Canis lupus familiaris: one gene and its partners. The main gene of each other region encodes a partner of the protein of the gene in region 2 in a complex. Links are inferred from orthologs where the notes say so. Each region holds a gene or a part of one and is shown on either strand. Other genes may lie near its edges. The genes, in order: PA2G4, DDX5 and HNRNPH2.

Region 1 (4,209 bases), on a different chromosome or scaffold from region 2:
ATGGGGAGTGGGGGAGGATATGCTGCTGCTTGCTTTTTATTCCCACTCTCTACCGCCAAATGTTTTGAGAGATTCCCTAGAGAAATAAAAAGAGAAAAGTGTTTTCTCTCCTGTTCATTGGCTGGCCTTGCATAGTGACCATTTGAGTAAAGCACTTTCCAGGAAGGTACTGATTGCATCCAGGAAGGTACTGATTGCATTTCCTTATCTACAGGGGACCCAAGTAACAGGGCGGAAAGCAGATGTCATTAAGGCAGCTCACCTTTGTGCTGAAGCTGCTCTACGCCTGGTCAAACCTGGAAACCAGGTAAGTAAGCTGTTGAGTCCAGTTCCAAAGATGATAGAGCCAAAGTTGATTAGTCACATATAATTATTCTCTCTCTCTTTTTTTAAGATTTTATTTATTCATTCATGAGAGATACATATTTAGAGAGAGGCAAAGACATAGGCAGATGGAGAAGCAGGCTCCCTGTGGGGAGCCCAATGTGGGACGTGGGACTCAATCCCAGATCCCAGGATCACGCTCTGGGCCAAAGGCAGACGCCCAACCCCTGAGCCACCCAGGCATCCCACATATAACTATTCTCTATTGAATTCCCAGCTTCTGCAGCCCCCTTATAAAACAGTTTTTCTTTGTTTTGTTTTTTTAAGTAAGCTCTATACCCAAGGTGGGGCTTGAACTCATGACCCTGAGACCAAGAGTCACATGCTCTACTGAGTGAGCCAGTCAGGTGCCCCTAATACAAACAGCTCTTTAAAATTAGAATTGGATTTCTGGGGTACCTGGGTGGCTCAGTGACTGAACGTCTGCCTTTGATTCAGGTGATGATCCCAGAGTCCTGGGATCAAGTTCCCGCATCAGGCTCCCTGCAGGGAGCTTGCTTCTCCCTCTGCCTATGCATCTGCCTCTCTATCTCTCTCTCTCTCATGAATGAATGAATAAAATCTTTAAAAAAAAAACAAAATTAGAAACAGATTTCTGAAATAGAAGAGGCAGTTAACTAAGCACTGTTTAACTCTGAGTGCCTATCATAGGTAAGGTCCATGCTAGGTATATGGGGATGTATGATCCATTCTTCATGGAGCCTAGAGATCTTTCCTTTTTCATGTTTTGGTTGTGCATCTTTTCCTAAAATAATTTGAGGTATATCACTTGGAGTAAAATACATGTTGAAAAAAGATGAAAGGGCAGCCGTGGTGGCTTGGCGGTTGGTTCATCGCCACCTCCGGCCCAGGGCGTGTTCCTGGAGACCCGGGATCAAGTCCTGCATCTGGCTTCCTGCATGGAGCCTGCTTCTCCCTCTGCCTGTGTCTCTGCCTCTGTGTGTCTTTCGTGAATAAATGAATAAAATAAAATAAAATAAAACCTTTTTCTTTTTAACTTAATTACTTGAGTAACCTCTGCACCCAATGTGGGGCTCAAAATCCCATCCCCAGGATCAAGAATTGCCCTTCCAACCGAGCCAGGCAGGTACTCCCAAAACCCAACTTTAAAAGCTAATGAAACAAATCATAATAGTACCAGTAAACTGGTAGCAGAGAGAGGCCAAAAGTGAGTTCTTTGCCTTGCAAGACAATATCAGGAAGCCTAGGGATCATGAACTGTTATGGATTAATACACTTTAACATGTTAGATTATGAGTGGAGACATTTTTTCTAACACTTCAGTCTCCAGGGTCCTATTCGATACTTAAAGCTTGCCTTTTTTGTTCCCCTGTGCTCTTGTTTTTTATGCTTTTAATCAGTTTGTACCTCATCTCCATTGTTATTCATATCATTTTTACTTATACCTCTGTCTTGGTTTCCTTATGATACTACTTCCTACCACTGTTATGAAGCTCTTTGAACAGTGCCTGGCCCATAGTAAGCGCTTGTGCACATTAATTATTTTTATTCTTTTTTTTTTTTTAATATTTTTTTTAATTTTTTAATTTATTTATGATAGTCACAGAGAGAGAGAGAGAGGCAGAGACATAGGCAGAGGGAGAAGCAGGCTCCATGCACCGGGAGCCTGATGTGGGATTCGATCCTGGGTCTCCAGGATCGCGCCCTGGGCCAAAGGCAGGCGCCAAACCGCTGCGCCACCCAGGGATCCCCTATTTTTATTCTTTATATACTAACTATTGCATATCTCCACTGGAACGTATAATTGTATAGTGGCTATTGTAAATTATGACATACATCAGAATTTCTGGGTTCTTGCCCTGTTGCCACCCCTTACTGTTTAAAAGTAACTTGGAATTCAGATTTCCTCATCTGCAAAATAGGAAAAATAAAATTGCCCCTTATTGTCATAGGGTTGTTACGACAATTGAGATGATCCATGTGAAGTACCTAACACAAAATTTAGTATTATTAGTTATGATTATGTATTTTTCATTTTGTTTAATGACAAAGGAAATAGTTTAGGTGGAGATCAGATGTTTGAAAGAGTTAAAAGGGAAAATCAGAACTTGTCCTCTCTCAACAGATATCATGAGATAAACACGGGATTTATCACCAGAAAACCTGGGTTTATTCCCATTTCTTTCGGTTAACTGGCTTAACCCTATGCAAATCTTTTTTAACCTTTCCAAGCCTCAGTTTATACATCTTCTAAATTGGGATATGGAATATAGCTCTGCCCCATTCATCTTTCAGAATTATTGTCTACTTGGACCATCTTGGTGAAAGCATTTATAAAATGATAAGCTAATATAAGGTGTTTTTAGGTTGTAGGGATAATAGGGCTATGAAATGAAAAGCCACTGAGAATCATTGCTTTTTGATGGAGGATATGGAGACTCAGTTCTTTTTTATCCCTTTCATTCTCATGTTAGAGAACTTGTTGACCTCTGGTATATATCTCACCTGTTACTTGATTTTGTACTTCTAGAACACACAAGTGACAGAAGCCTGGAACAAAGTTGCCCACTCGTTTAATTGCACACCAATAGAAGGTGAGACCTCAGATAACAGGGTTGAGGGTCTGAGTGAGTGCTTTAGTAGAATGAAGAATTTTGCTCCTTTTAGGATCTATCCTGGCTCTAGCACAGTCTAAGCCAAAACCCATACTACCCTGAGTTTTCATAGCCAGGCACTTTTCCTTTATTGCATGCCCTGTCACAGTGTCGATGGGTGGATTTGGAAACCCTCTGGGATTCTAAATGGCTTTGTCGTGTCTACAGGTATGTTGTCACATCAATTGAAGCAGCATGTCATCGATGGAGAGAAAACCATTATCCAGAATCCCACAGACCAGCAGAAGTAGGTGCCAATTCCACCCTTTACTTTCTACCATCTGAGACTAGTCATGAATGTTTTCTTCCATACACCCAGCCTAATTGTGTCTGCCTTTCTATTTCATACTCCAGGGACTAATCATTTTTTTTATGGTTCGCTTTTTATTCCTTTTAGGAAGGACCATGAAAAAGCTGAATTTGAGGTACATGAAGTATATGCTGTGGATGTTCTTGTCAGCTCAGGAGAGGGCAAGGTGAGGAGAGTTTACCAGAGCTACCAAAGAGGGGTAGTTGAAGGTATGTTCTAAGAGCACCAGACCAACTGTGACCTAACGCATTACTCTTTTAGGCCAAGGATGCAGGACAGAGAACCACCATTTACAAACGAGACCCTTCTAAACAGTATGGCCTAAAAATGAAAACTTCACGTGCCTTCTTCAGTGAGGTGGAGAGGCGTTTTGATGCCATGCCATTTACTTTAAGGTACTATGACTGCACTTAACAAGAACAGGACTCAGAACCAGCCTGACTCATAGACCACACACCCAGGAACACTGTTACCTCTCCCAGTGCACCCCCTCCCACCCTGCCCCTGCCTAGACTTGTAGCTCCAGCCTGCATGCATGCCTTCTCTCCCTCTCCCCATTGCCCTCTCATCGAAGATAATGTGCAAGAGCAATCCTAAGCATGATTTCTGCCTGAGGGTAGGAGCTATTTAAAAACAGGAAAATGGTAAGACTTGATAGGGGGTTAAGGATACCTGAATCTGTCTTCCCTCACCCAGAGCATTTGAGGATGAGAAGAAGGCCCGGATGGGTGTGGTGGAGTGCGCCAAACATGAACTGCTACAGCCATTTAATGTTCTCTATGAGAAGGAGGGTGAGTTCTAAGAAGAGAGTTTCACTTTGGAGCCCCTAATTAGGGTCCCCACCATCTAGCTTCAGAAAAGATTATGACAGGGGGTCATTTTATCAAAACCTTTCCTTTC
Region 2 (4,739 bases):
CTTATATCACTAATCCATTTTCTCTAACATAATCACATATTAAAACTCAAAAATTCTTCCACACTTACAGACAATGTTTTCCCGGATCCAGTCTGTGCTACTCCAACCATATCCAAACCACTTAGAGCAACGGGCCATCCCTGAGCTTGAATTGCAGTGGGTTCAGTAAAATTCTGTCTTGCAATCACATCCATTACATTTGCTGTAATTAGCAACAGTAATTCAGTAAATTTAGTGAAGCTAAGAAAAAGGGTGAAATTAATAAAGGGGGGGGAGTGAGTGCTCTGAACTAGCACTTACCAGGGAAGTTTGCTTCATAAAAATTCAGAACTGGCTTTGGGCAGTTGTGACCTCTAACCGTAATTTCCTTACTCCTTCTGTATGTCTCCACCTCTTGCTATAAAACAAATTTTAATAACCTACTAAGTACCATAACAACCTTCACCAATATGCAGTCAGCAGGCCTTAAGTTTATCAAGGATTAGCAAACTGTAACGGGCCATTTAAAATCTATATCCACATATAGAAAACCTACAGAGCACAAGATCCATCTATTGTAGTTATATTTAACCACTCTAAACAGAAAAATTCAAAGATACCACTTGCCAAAGCACCTCCTCTTCCTCGACTATCAGAAAATATGAGTTTTCCAAGGCCTCTGTTCAAATTTCTGTTTACTAAAAGTCACTGTTGAGTTACAGCCCAAGGAAGCCCTGTGAAATTACTCACTGCTGTGCGCCTAGCCAAATCAGGGTGTTCTTGATAAAAATTCTTCTCAAATTTGGGCAGCTCATCAAGATTCCACTTCTTTTTGACTAATTTCTCCCCAGGGTTTCCAAACTTCTTTCCAGATAGGGGCCCTGCCCTACTTCCCCCAAATCGAGGTGCACCAAACCTGAAATTAAAACAAAAAAGTTATATTTTCAACTACCTACTAAGACGTTTACATACAGACTATTTATTGTCCCTTGACACACAGTACAGATAAATGAAAGACTTTTCGAGGTTTAAGACTTAGCACTGTCCTTAGTGATGGGTCATGCTCTCAAAAGCCACAATTAGCACCATCTCTCTCACTTTCCGTTGTCCCAAATACACACTATTGAAGCCAAATCAACAGCCCGGGATTTATCAGGTCGGAAATTGGCTGCCCAAACGCCCCATGTTCAGATTACAAGGATAGACAACAGCTTGTGGCTCCTAGTCTTTCCCGTGAGCTTAGGCATTAAATGTCTGGGGGAGAGACAATACAAGGGAGGTGCGTAACAGCAATGTTATTATCAGCTCTTTCCAAGCCAAGCAGCTTTGGTTCTAAGGAATAATGGGACAGCACCAACGAGAACAGAACAAGGACGGTGGTCTCAGAGACATTTATGCAAGCCCATCGAATTGGGGGGATCCCCCCGGAGGGCTCCTCATCAAGATAGCAAAATTATATAACGCAAAGAAAAAGAGGAGGAGGAGCTGGCAACTACCGGGGGAGGAGTCCCGGACCGGGCGGCGTTCCCGCTGGGGCGGCGCTTCCCCCTTTGTCTCGCATTTCTCTCTGCGCCACATTTTCTCGACGCTGCCATTTTGAGCTCCTCCGCCGGGCGGGGTAACAAAGGCGCCGCCGCCATGTCCGGCGCCGGCATTTTGTACCCGCGGCTCAGCCACATGGCCGATTCCCGCGGTGCCGGCCGCCCTCCTGCTCCCGCGCCATCAATGGCTCGTGAGGCGACCCCTTCGATTACCACAGAACTCCCGGGGCCCCTACAACACTTCCCGAAAAGATGCACCGAACAGCGGTGACTTCGTTCTCCTGAAAGCGTCGCGCTTTCCAACCATTGAAATACACTCCCCCGAATTGTCCCCAACAGCTGCTCAGTCGGCGGGGGCGGGGGCTTCGGCGCCTCCCCCATCCCCCCACCAACAAAAGGCGAGCTTGAGGACCGTTAACAGGGAAACATCCCTCTGTCAGTTCCGGACAAATATCAAAATGGCGCAAGCCTTCGATTCGTAAAGGTTAAATATAGCCGGAAAAAGCCGACTGTCCATCGCCCCCGCCCGCCGCCTCCTTCATCGGCCTCCCATCCCCCACTGCCGGGCCTGACAAGTCCGTTCCCACACTCACCCTCGATCCCGGCCGCGGTCTCGGTCACTCGAATAACCCGACATGGCGTCAATGGTTGCGGTTGGCGGGGAACGAAGTAAAGAGAATCGGGTGCGACGAGTCGCTGCAGGTGGCTTTGGCGATGGCAAAGCCTTGCGGGGGCGGCAGCGGCAGCGGGGCGGCGATGACAGGGGCCGGAGCTGCTCGACAAGAGACCGGTGGAAATGAATGAGGTGCCGGCCGCGTCCCGGCAGCCGGTTTTATAGCCTGGACCGCCTCCTCCGCCGCGGAGAATGCTGGGAGCCGCTCTATGACCTAATCACCCCGCCCCTGCGCAGAGGCCGCAACGCCCGCCGGCGTTCCGGGATCCGCCATGTTCTCGCCCCACCCCCACCCTCCGCTTCCCTCAGAGTCGCCGGCTTGGGGCCCCTTTCACGGCTGGGCCCACCCGCACTGAGACGCCTTAGCCTACTCTGTGTTCTTCACCTTTTTCTCGTCTTTCCACACCTCAAGGAAGCCACCCCGCCCTTTCCCAGGTCTAGCCCTGCCGACAAAATGGCCAGCACAGACCAACCCACTCAGCCCACTTGGAGATGTTTACGTCTCCGAAGAGCCTTCACGCCCCTAACCAAGTGAGACGGGAAGGCGGAGCCTGACATTGTCACGTGACTGCTCCCGCCCATCGGGTAAGCGGACCGCACTACTTCTCCACTTGGCGTCGGCGGAGGAATACGAAACGAAATAGCTCGCCGGAAGTGCCGTACTATTGCCCCCGGGAGGCCGGCCAGGGCCGCTGGGTGACCCGGCCTGTCAAATCCACCCACCTGAGAATCCCTCAGCGGGATCTTGCCCGCGGAGAATGGTACCTAGAGCCCACAAACCGCCGCCTGGGCGCGTGCTGCGAAAGGAAGTCCTCCCGTGATGACCAATCAGCAGCAAGAAGCCGTTTTAACGTCCCTCCCTCTTTCACCCCCTGCCCTTTCGTTTCGTTCTCCCCCCACCTCGGCGTTGCGTCTGCGCTGTGCGGCCCTTCCCGGACGCCGTCCGCCTCGCGCCCAGCTGGAAGTCCGGCAGCGACCTGCCTCCGTGACATGGCCGGCTCAGAGGCTGGTGAGTCTCGGCCCGGAGCCCGGGTGTGTGTGGACTGAAACCCTTTAAGTCCGCCGGACGCTCCTAGGCCTTTTATCTCGAATCCTCCGGCTGGACTCCCTGGGTCTGGGCTGCCGGCGGGGCTGGTGACAGACACCCAGTCGCAGTCGGCGGTTCCGTGGGTTTCTTGGCCCCGCTCTGGGTCCCCCTCCTAGAGGCCATCTAGCGAGATCTTGGGGTGTGGAGAGAAGAACCCCGTGGCGAGGCCCGCAGCACGCCCGCAACCTGGCTGCAAAAAGGGCAGTCGGAAAGCTGCTTCCCGGGACTCGTGTTTCTCTGGGGCATCCAGCCACTGTCAGCGCGCTCTCTGCCTCTTGGATTGTGGGGACTGAGGCCGTTACCTCCATGTGCATTGAAGTTTTGAGGGGAACGGCACTCTAAAGATCTGCTGATGCTCCTGCCACAGTAGGATAGTGGCGGATTTTTCTCTTCAGTGCCCTCTGGAGTTACCTGCATTGTCTAGCAACCGCTTTTGAAAACCGAGTGGGTTGGGTTGTCCGGGACGCTTTTCTTTTCATCCTTTCCTCAGGACAGCGTTCAAACCAGCTCGTGGTTTGGTCAGCTGTGAGAAGTGGGCACGGGGACAGGGAGATAACGTGCCTTGAACGCGCTCAGTTCGTCAAATACGAAGTAGAAGGACTTCTTAACCACCTTAAATTGTATCAGGGAGCAAATAGGTCAGGCTTTAGAAATTACCTTTGTTGGAGAAAGTCGTGAAATAATCTTGCTAATTCCGACCGTATCTGGGGGTGGGGTGCGGTGGCACACAGGAAACTTCCAACAGTGTTGGTAATGTGCTAGTTCTGAATTTAGGGATGTCTTTGTGTATTGCCTGTATTTTACTTCTTATTCATTGACTTTATTTTTTTTATAAGATTTTATTTATTTATTTGAGTGAGAGCATGAGCAAGGGGAAAAGCAGACTCCCCGGTGAGCAGGGAGCCAGACTTGGGGGCTCCATCCTGCGGGGATCATGACCTGAGCTGAAGGCAAAGGCTTAAACCGATCGAGCCACCCAGGCGCCTCCATTAAATGTAATTTTTTTAAAGAACTAAAACAAATGTTGCAGTGTTGGGGTCATTACTTCAGTTTTTTAACAGCCTGAATTAATCACCACCTTTTGGGGCACCAGAGAAATTCTGACTTGCACAAAATAATTGGGTAGAAACATGACTAATGCTATTGGGAATTTGAAGCAGCATCCATTAATTAGTTTCTGCTAATCTCAGACAATCGTTAACAAACTGTCTCGTTTATGACATCTATTCCTGTTTACTTTTAAGTATGTTAAAAAACAGCTATGTATGGCTTGTAAAATAAGAAAAGGTAAAATAACAAGGTTTTAGTTTGCAACAGTAAAAATTGGATTTGCATCATAGGTTTGACTGCATTGAAATTCCAGCCCTCTGGAAGTCATCCCAAGAAATTAAATATGTTTTCAAAAATCATGCCTCAGAGGGTCTTTGACCTTCTATAATCAGATATTTTATCTTCTACA
Region 3 (4,365 bases), on a different chromosome or scaffold from region 2:
AGATCAAGAATAATATGCATCATGGTGGAGGGGGGCAGTGCAAAGAGTACCATAATGTGACAATGCAAATCAAAAGCCTTAAAAATGTGGGTACACTTGACTCAACAATCCCACTTTTAGGCATAGATCTTAAAAATAATGATACAGTGAACAATTTATGTATGATGGTACTAATGTGTGTTTATAAAAATTAAATTTAAATTTCAGTGGCAGGGGCACTGGGTGGCTCAGTGGGTTAAGTATCTGCTTTTGGCTCAGGTCATGACCTCAAGGTCCTGGGATCAAGCCCCATGTCCGGGACCCTCCTCAGTGTGGAGTCTTGCTTCTCCCTCTCCCTTTGCCTGCCATTCCACCCTGCTTGTTCTATCAAATAAATAAATAAAAATCTTAAAAAAATAAGTTTCAAGTGCAGAGGACTTGTATCAAAGAAATGGTTCATATGATGGAACATTTTTAAAAAATTAAGCTGTTGGGGCGCCTGGGTAGCTCAGTTAAATGTCTGCCTTCAGCTTAGGTCATGATCTCAGTGGCCCGGGATTGAGCCCTGCATCCAGCTCTCGGCTCAGCGGCAAATCTGCTTTTCCTTCTTTGATCTCTCTGCCTCTCTCTCTCTCAAATAAATAAAATTTTTAAAAGAAATCAAGCTGCACAAGATTTTTCATTTTTAAAAGGAAGATTTATTTAACAAGTTTCACTTAGTACAATACATCTAATGGAAATCACAATACAAGGAAAGGTTTAAATCAAAGTCTCAGAATCTCATACAAACAACATGACCAAACTCCTAAAGTATTGGTATTACATCTCAAAATTGTCCCAGATCTTTAAAAAAGTAAAAGTGTACACTCACGTGCCTTACAGGATATTAAACCAAAAAGCTAGAATTAACAAACATGCCAAATGTTTTCACTTTGAATCGTAGACACAGCTCCTATATTTGAGTTTTACAGAAAAGCATGTTTCTCAACATGCATCCAAAGTTTTCAAGGTATTGTGGTATAAGAGCAACATTTAACATAAGTGAAACTGCTTTAACCTAAATAATGCTTACTGCTTAGGTATACTCCTACAATGTAACTAACTTGAGGAAAGCTGAAAATTGTTTTAACAGTTATGGTCAATACTGAACGTTGTTATTACACCCTAGATGAATGTTTCAGTGTTCAAAATTACTGAGCTTAAAGTTGTAAAACCTTGACTTCCACTTTACAGTAAGCATGAATCACAAGCCTGTAATGCAAAACTGTTAAACTTAACTTTTGTTTTCTTAAAAAAAAAAAGGAAAGAATGAAAGAACGAAAGAACGAAAGAACGAAAGAAAGAAAGAAAGAAAGAAAGAAAGAGGAAGCTGACCAAGAGTGATCAGAATCAGTATTTCCCATTTACCAATCATACTGGATATACTAGACATCCCTCCCATTCTACAACTCCCATAAATGCAGAGATTTTATTTTTGTAATAGCTGTTTAGTATTGTTTACTTAAGCGAGGTTTGACTGATAGTCACTGGAGTTTTCCTGCAGCACTTGGTCATATCCACTCATACTGCTCTGACCACCGTACCCACCTCCATAACCCCCGCTTAGCTGCTGGCTGGCAGGGCCCCCATAACTAGATTGGTTGGATAAGCCCATTCCTCCCATCATTTGACTACCATATGCACCACCACTTGCCCCTGCTGTAGAATTCAAAAAGAGTTCTACATAGCTGTGATCATAAGCACCCCCACTTGTTCCTGCAGTAGAATTCAAGAAGAGCTCCACGTATCTGTGTTGCATATTAGCTTTGTCTTTTGCCATAGCTGCCACAGCATCTTCATGGGTAGCAAATTCAACATCTGCCTCACCAGTAACTCGGCCATCGGGTCCAATTTCAATGTGCACTCTCATGGGGTTAAGAGGTGAGAAAAAATTGTAAATATCATTCTCAGTGGCTCTGTAAGGTAATCCCCTCATGTGTACACAGTGCCCTGTGGTGCTCTGGAAACTGGACCCACCATCTCCATATCTATGGTCAGACATCCCTGAAAAACAGTAATTGAGGTCTCTTCCAAATCTATCAGACCCAAAGCCATAGCCATCATTATAGCCACCATAGTCATCATAGCCTCCATACCCTCCACCATAGGCACCACGCCTCATCCTTTCAAACCCAGTCCCTCTGCCAATACTATTATACCCTCTGCCAGCCCCTGGCCTATCATAAGGACCTGGCCGCTGCATAGCCATGAGCTTTCGCGGGGGGTCGTAGTGGGTTCGGACTTCAGCTCGGCTACTCTTGAAGATTTCAATGTACCTATGCCCTATTCTTTCCTTGTGTTTCTTTAAGGCCTTTTCAGCTATCTCCTGCGAAGCAAACTGCACAAAGGCCTCCCCCGTGCTCCGCCCCTGAAAGTCCACCGGCAGTGTCATCCCATTTGGCACAATTTCCAACCCTGAAAAGAACTGAACAATCTCTTCCTTGCTACAGCCAAATGGGAGTCCTCTAAGCCGGACGAAGCCATCGTTGGCAGTATCAGGACTATTCGGACCTGTATGCTTCAACACCCAATCCATTTCAACACTGTTGGACTTGAACACTTCAACGTATCTGTGTCCCATGGTTTCTCTGTCCTTCTTCAATGCCAATTTCACTTCATCTTCGGATTCAAGTTCGACAAACGCTTCACCACTTGGTCTGCCTTCTCTGGTATAGATGAAACGAATACCTGATGTGCCGTTTTGGATCTTGCAATCAGAGAAGAAGCGCATCACTTCATCAGCTGAGCAGGACCAGGGTAGGCCCCTGACCTTCACCACGAACCCCTCCCTGCCTTCCGTGCTCAGCATCATGATGATTGTTGGGCTCTTGGTGGCAAGCTTGGCTCAATGCAGTTTCAGTGTAGCTAAAAAAAAAATTAGAAGACTATTGTCATGGAAAAATGTTCACAACATAGTAAGAGAAAAAAGCAAACCAATAATATAAAACTCAAACGGATAGCTTTGTTCTAAAATATTCATATAAATAAAAAGACTGCACCAAATTTTTAATTCATTCATCCAAAGATTATTTACTCAATACCTATTATGTGTTGAATACCGTTAATAGTGGTTATTTCTGGGCAGTAGGCTTATGGGAACTTTTTTATTAAAGGAGTATTTTCTTTGGACATTTCTATGTTTTAGGTTTTCTATATTGAACATATATTAACATCATAGAACACAAAAGGCATAAAAAATCAGCAGCAAAATCACTGGAAGCTGTGAACAAATACGAGATAGCTATACCTGATTACATAAAAATGAAAAACTTCATTACATCAAAGGTAAGATTAAACAGAATTAAAAGACAATACACTTGAGAAGACACAACAGTACATTAATATCCTTATATAATGAACTCATGCCAATTAATAAAATCAAGGAAATATTAAGGCCTAAGCAATAAATGGGAAAAAGACATTAAGGGTGATCATACATTCATTTTATATTTTTCAACTGGCAAGTCCAGTACTTGGCTTTGGGATACAAGGATCAATAAACCAAGAAAGGGTTTATAGTCCTACAGGGGCATTATACATCTTTACTAAAGGCAAAAGGGCAAATAAACATTATTCCTGCTATGACAAAATTCTGTATAGCGTGAAAAGGTGGTATAAAACAGGGACTAGTTGGTCAATTCTAACAGTTGGCACAGAATTGTTTAAACAGACTCACCAGTTCAAGGATCCACAAATAAATTTTTAAAAATTACAATGGAGCATAAAATAGGATGAGCCCAGGCAAGAAGTTAAGGCTGGCAAGGTAGAGAGTAAGATCCCAAAGGCCTTACTTGATAGACAAACGTTAAGAGTCTTCTAAGGGTTTTAAAACAGAGGAGTGGGGTAGGGGAGTGAGGGTAAGGGAATGGGTAAGGGAGTGGGTAAGGGAGTGAGGGGAGGAAAGTGAGGTAACCAGAGCCTTTTCAAATAATAGATCACCCTGGCAACAGTGTGGAACTCAAACAGAGGGGGCTGGTGTGACACAAGCAGGATCAGTTATAACCCCAACCTCTTTTTGGCAATAAGGATTTCACCTAAGGCAACAGTTTTAAAAAAGAAAGGATAGCCCCTGGGTGGCTCAGTTGGTTAAGCAGCTGCCTTCGGCTCAGGTCCTGATCTCAGGGTCCCGGGGATTGAGTCAAGACATCCTGGAGCTCACTGCTTAGTGGGAAGTCTACTTCTCCCTCTCTCTCTGTTCCCCCTCCCCCCCACTTGTGTGTGGGCTCTCTTTCAAATAAATATTTTTAAAAATAAATAAATAAAAAAGAAAGGAAGGATGTAATCTACACATTGAAAGCAGTGGACTCTGCAGGACGTGATAACAGATTAAATACAGGAGGAATGCAG

The links.
Region 1: DDX5 (region 2) and PA2G4 share a complex: the UniProt entries of both Homo sapiens proteins name them as parts of the ribonucleoprotein complex. The link is inferred for Canis lupus familiaris from reciprocal best matches to the Homo sapiens genes DDX5 and PA2G4.
Region 3: DDX5 (region 2) and HNRNPH2 share a complex: the UniProt entries of both Homo sapiens proteins name them as parts of the ribonucleoprotein complex. The link is inferred for Canis lupus familiaris from reciprocal best matches to the Homo sapiens genes DDX5 and HNRNPH2.

Annotation. Positions count from the first base shown.
Region 1 is NC_049231.1:780,335-784,543, forward strand, and holds part of PA2G4 (proliferation-associated protein 2G4), read left to right. Parts: exon of another isoform or gene 1-76; intron 77-214; coding exon 215-307; intron 308-2,875; coding exon 2,876-2,939; intron 2,940-3,167; coding exon 3,168-3,246; intron 3,247-3,396; coding exon 3,397-3,475; intron 3,476-3,570; coding exon 3,571-3,704; intron 3,705-4,005; coding exon 4,006-4,100; intron 4,101-4,209. UniProt on the Homo sapiens protein: May play a role in a ERBB3-regulated signal transduction pathway. Seems be involved in growth regulation. Acts a corepressor of the androgen receptor (AR) and is regulated by the ERBB3 ligand neuregulin-1/heregulin (HRG).
Region 2 is NC_049230.1:14,615,653-14,620,391, reverse strand, and holds the start of DDX5 (probable ATP-dependent RNA helicase DDX5), read right to left. Parts: upstream 2,945-4,739; 5' UTR 2,917-2,944; exon of another isoform or gene 2,473-2,916; intron 2,293-2,472; 5' UTR 2,158-2,292; coding exon 2,114-2,157; intron 896-2,113; coding exon 730-895; intron 398-729; coding exon 301-397; intron 203-300; coding exon 69-202; intron 1-68. Other genes in the region: CEP95 (centrosomal protein of 95 kDa), read left to right, coding at 3,184-3,202. UniProt on the Homo sapiens protein: Involved in the alternative regulation of pre-mRNA splicing; its RNA helicase activity is necessary for increasing tau exon 10 inclusion and occurs in a RBM4-dependent manner. Binds to the tau pre-mRNA in the stem-loop region downstream of exon 10.
Region 3 is NC_049260.1:75,730,121-75,734,485, reverse strand, and holds the end of HNRNPH2 (heterogeneous nuclear ribonucleoprotein H2), read right to left. Parts: intron 3,914-4,365; exon of another isoform or gene 3,695-3,913; intron 2,884-3,694; 5' UTR 2,831-2,883; coding exon 1,481-2,830; 3' UTR 655-1,480; downstream 1-654. UniProt on the Homo sapiens protein: This protein is a component of the heterogeneous nuclear ribonucleoprotein (hnRNP) complexes which provide the substrate for the processing events that pre-mRNAs undergo before becoming functional, translatable mRNAs in the cytoplasm. Binds poly(RG).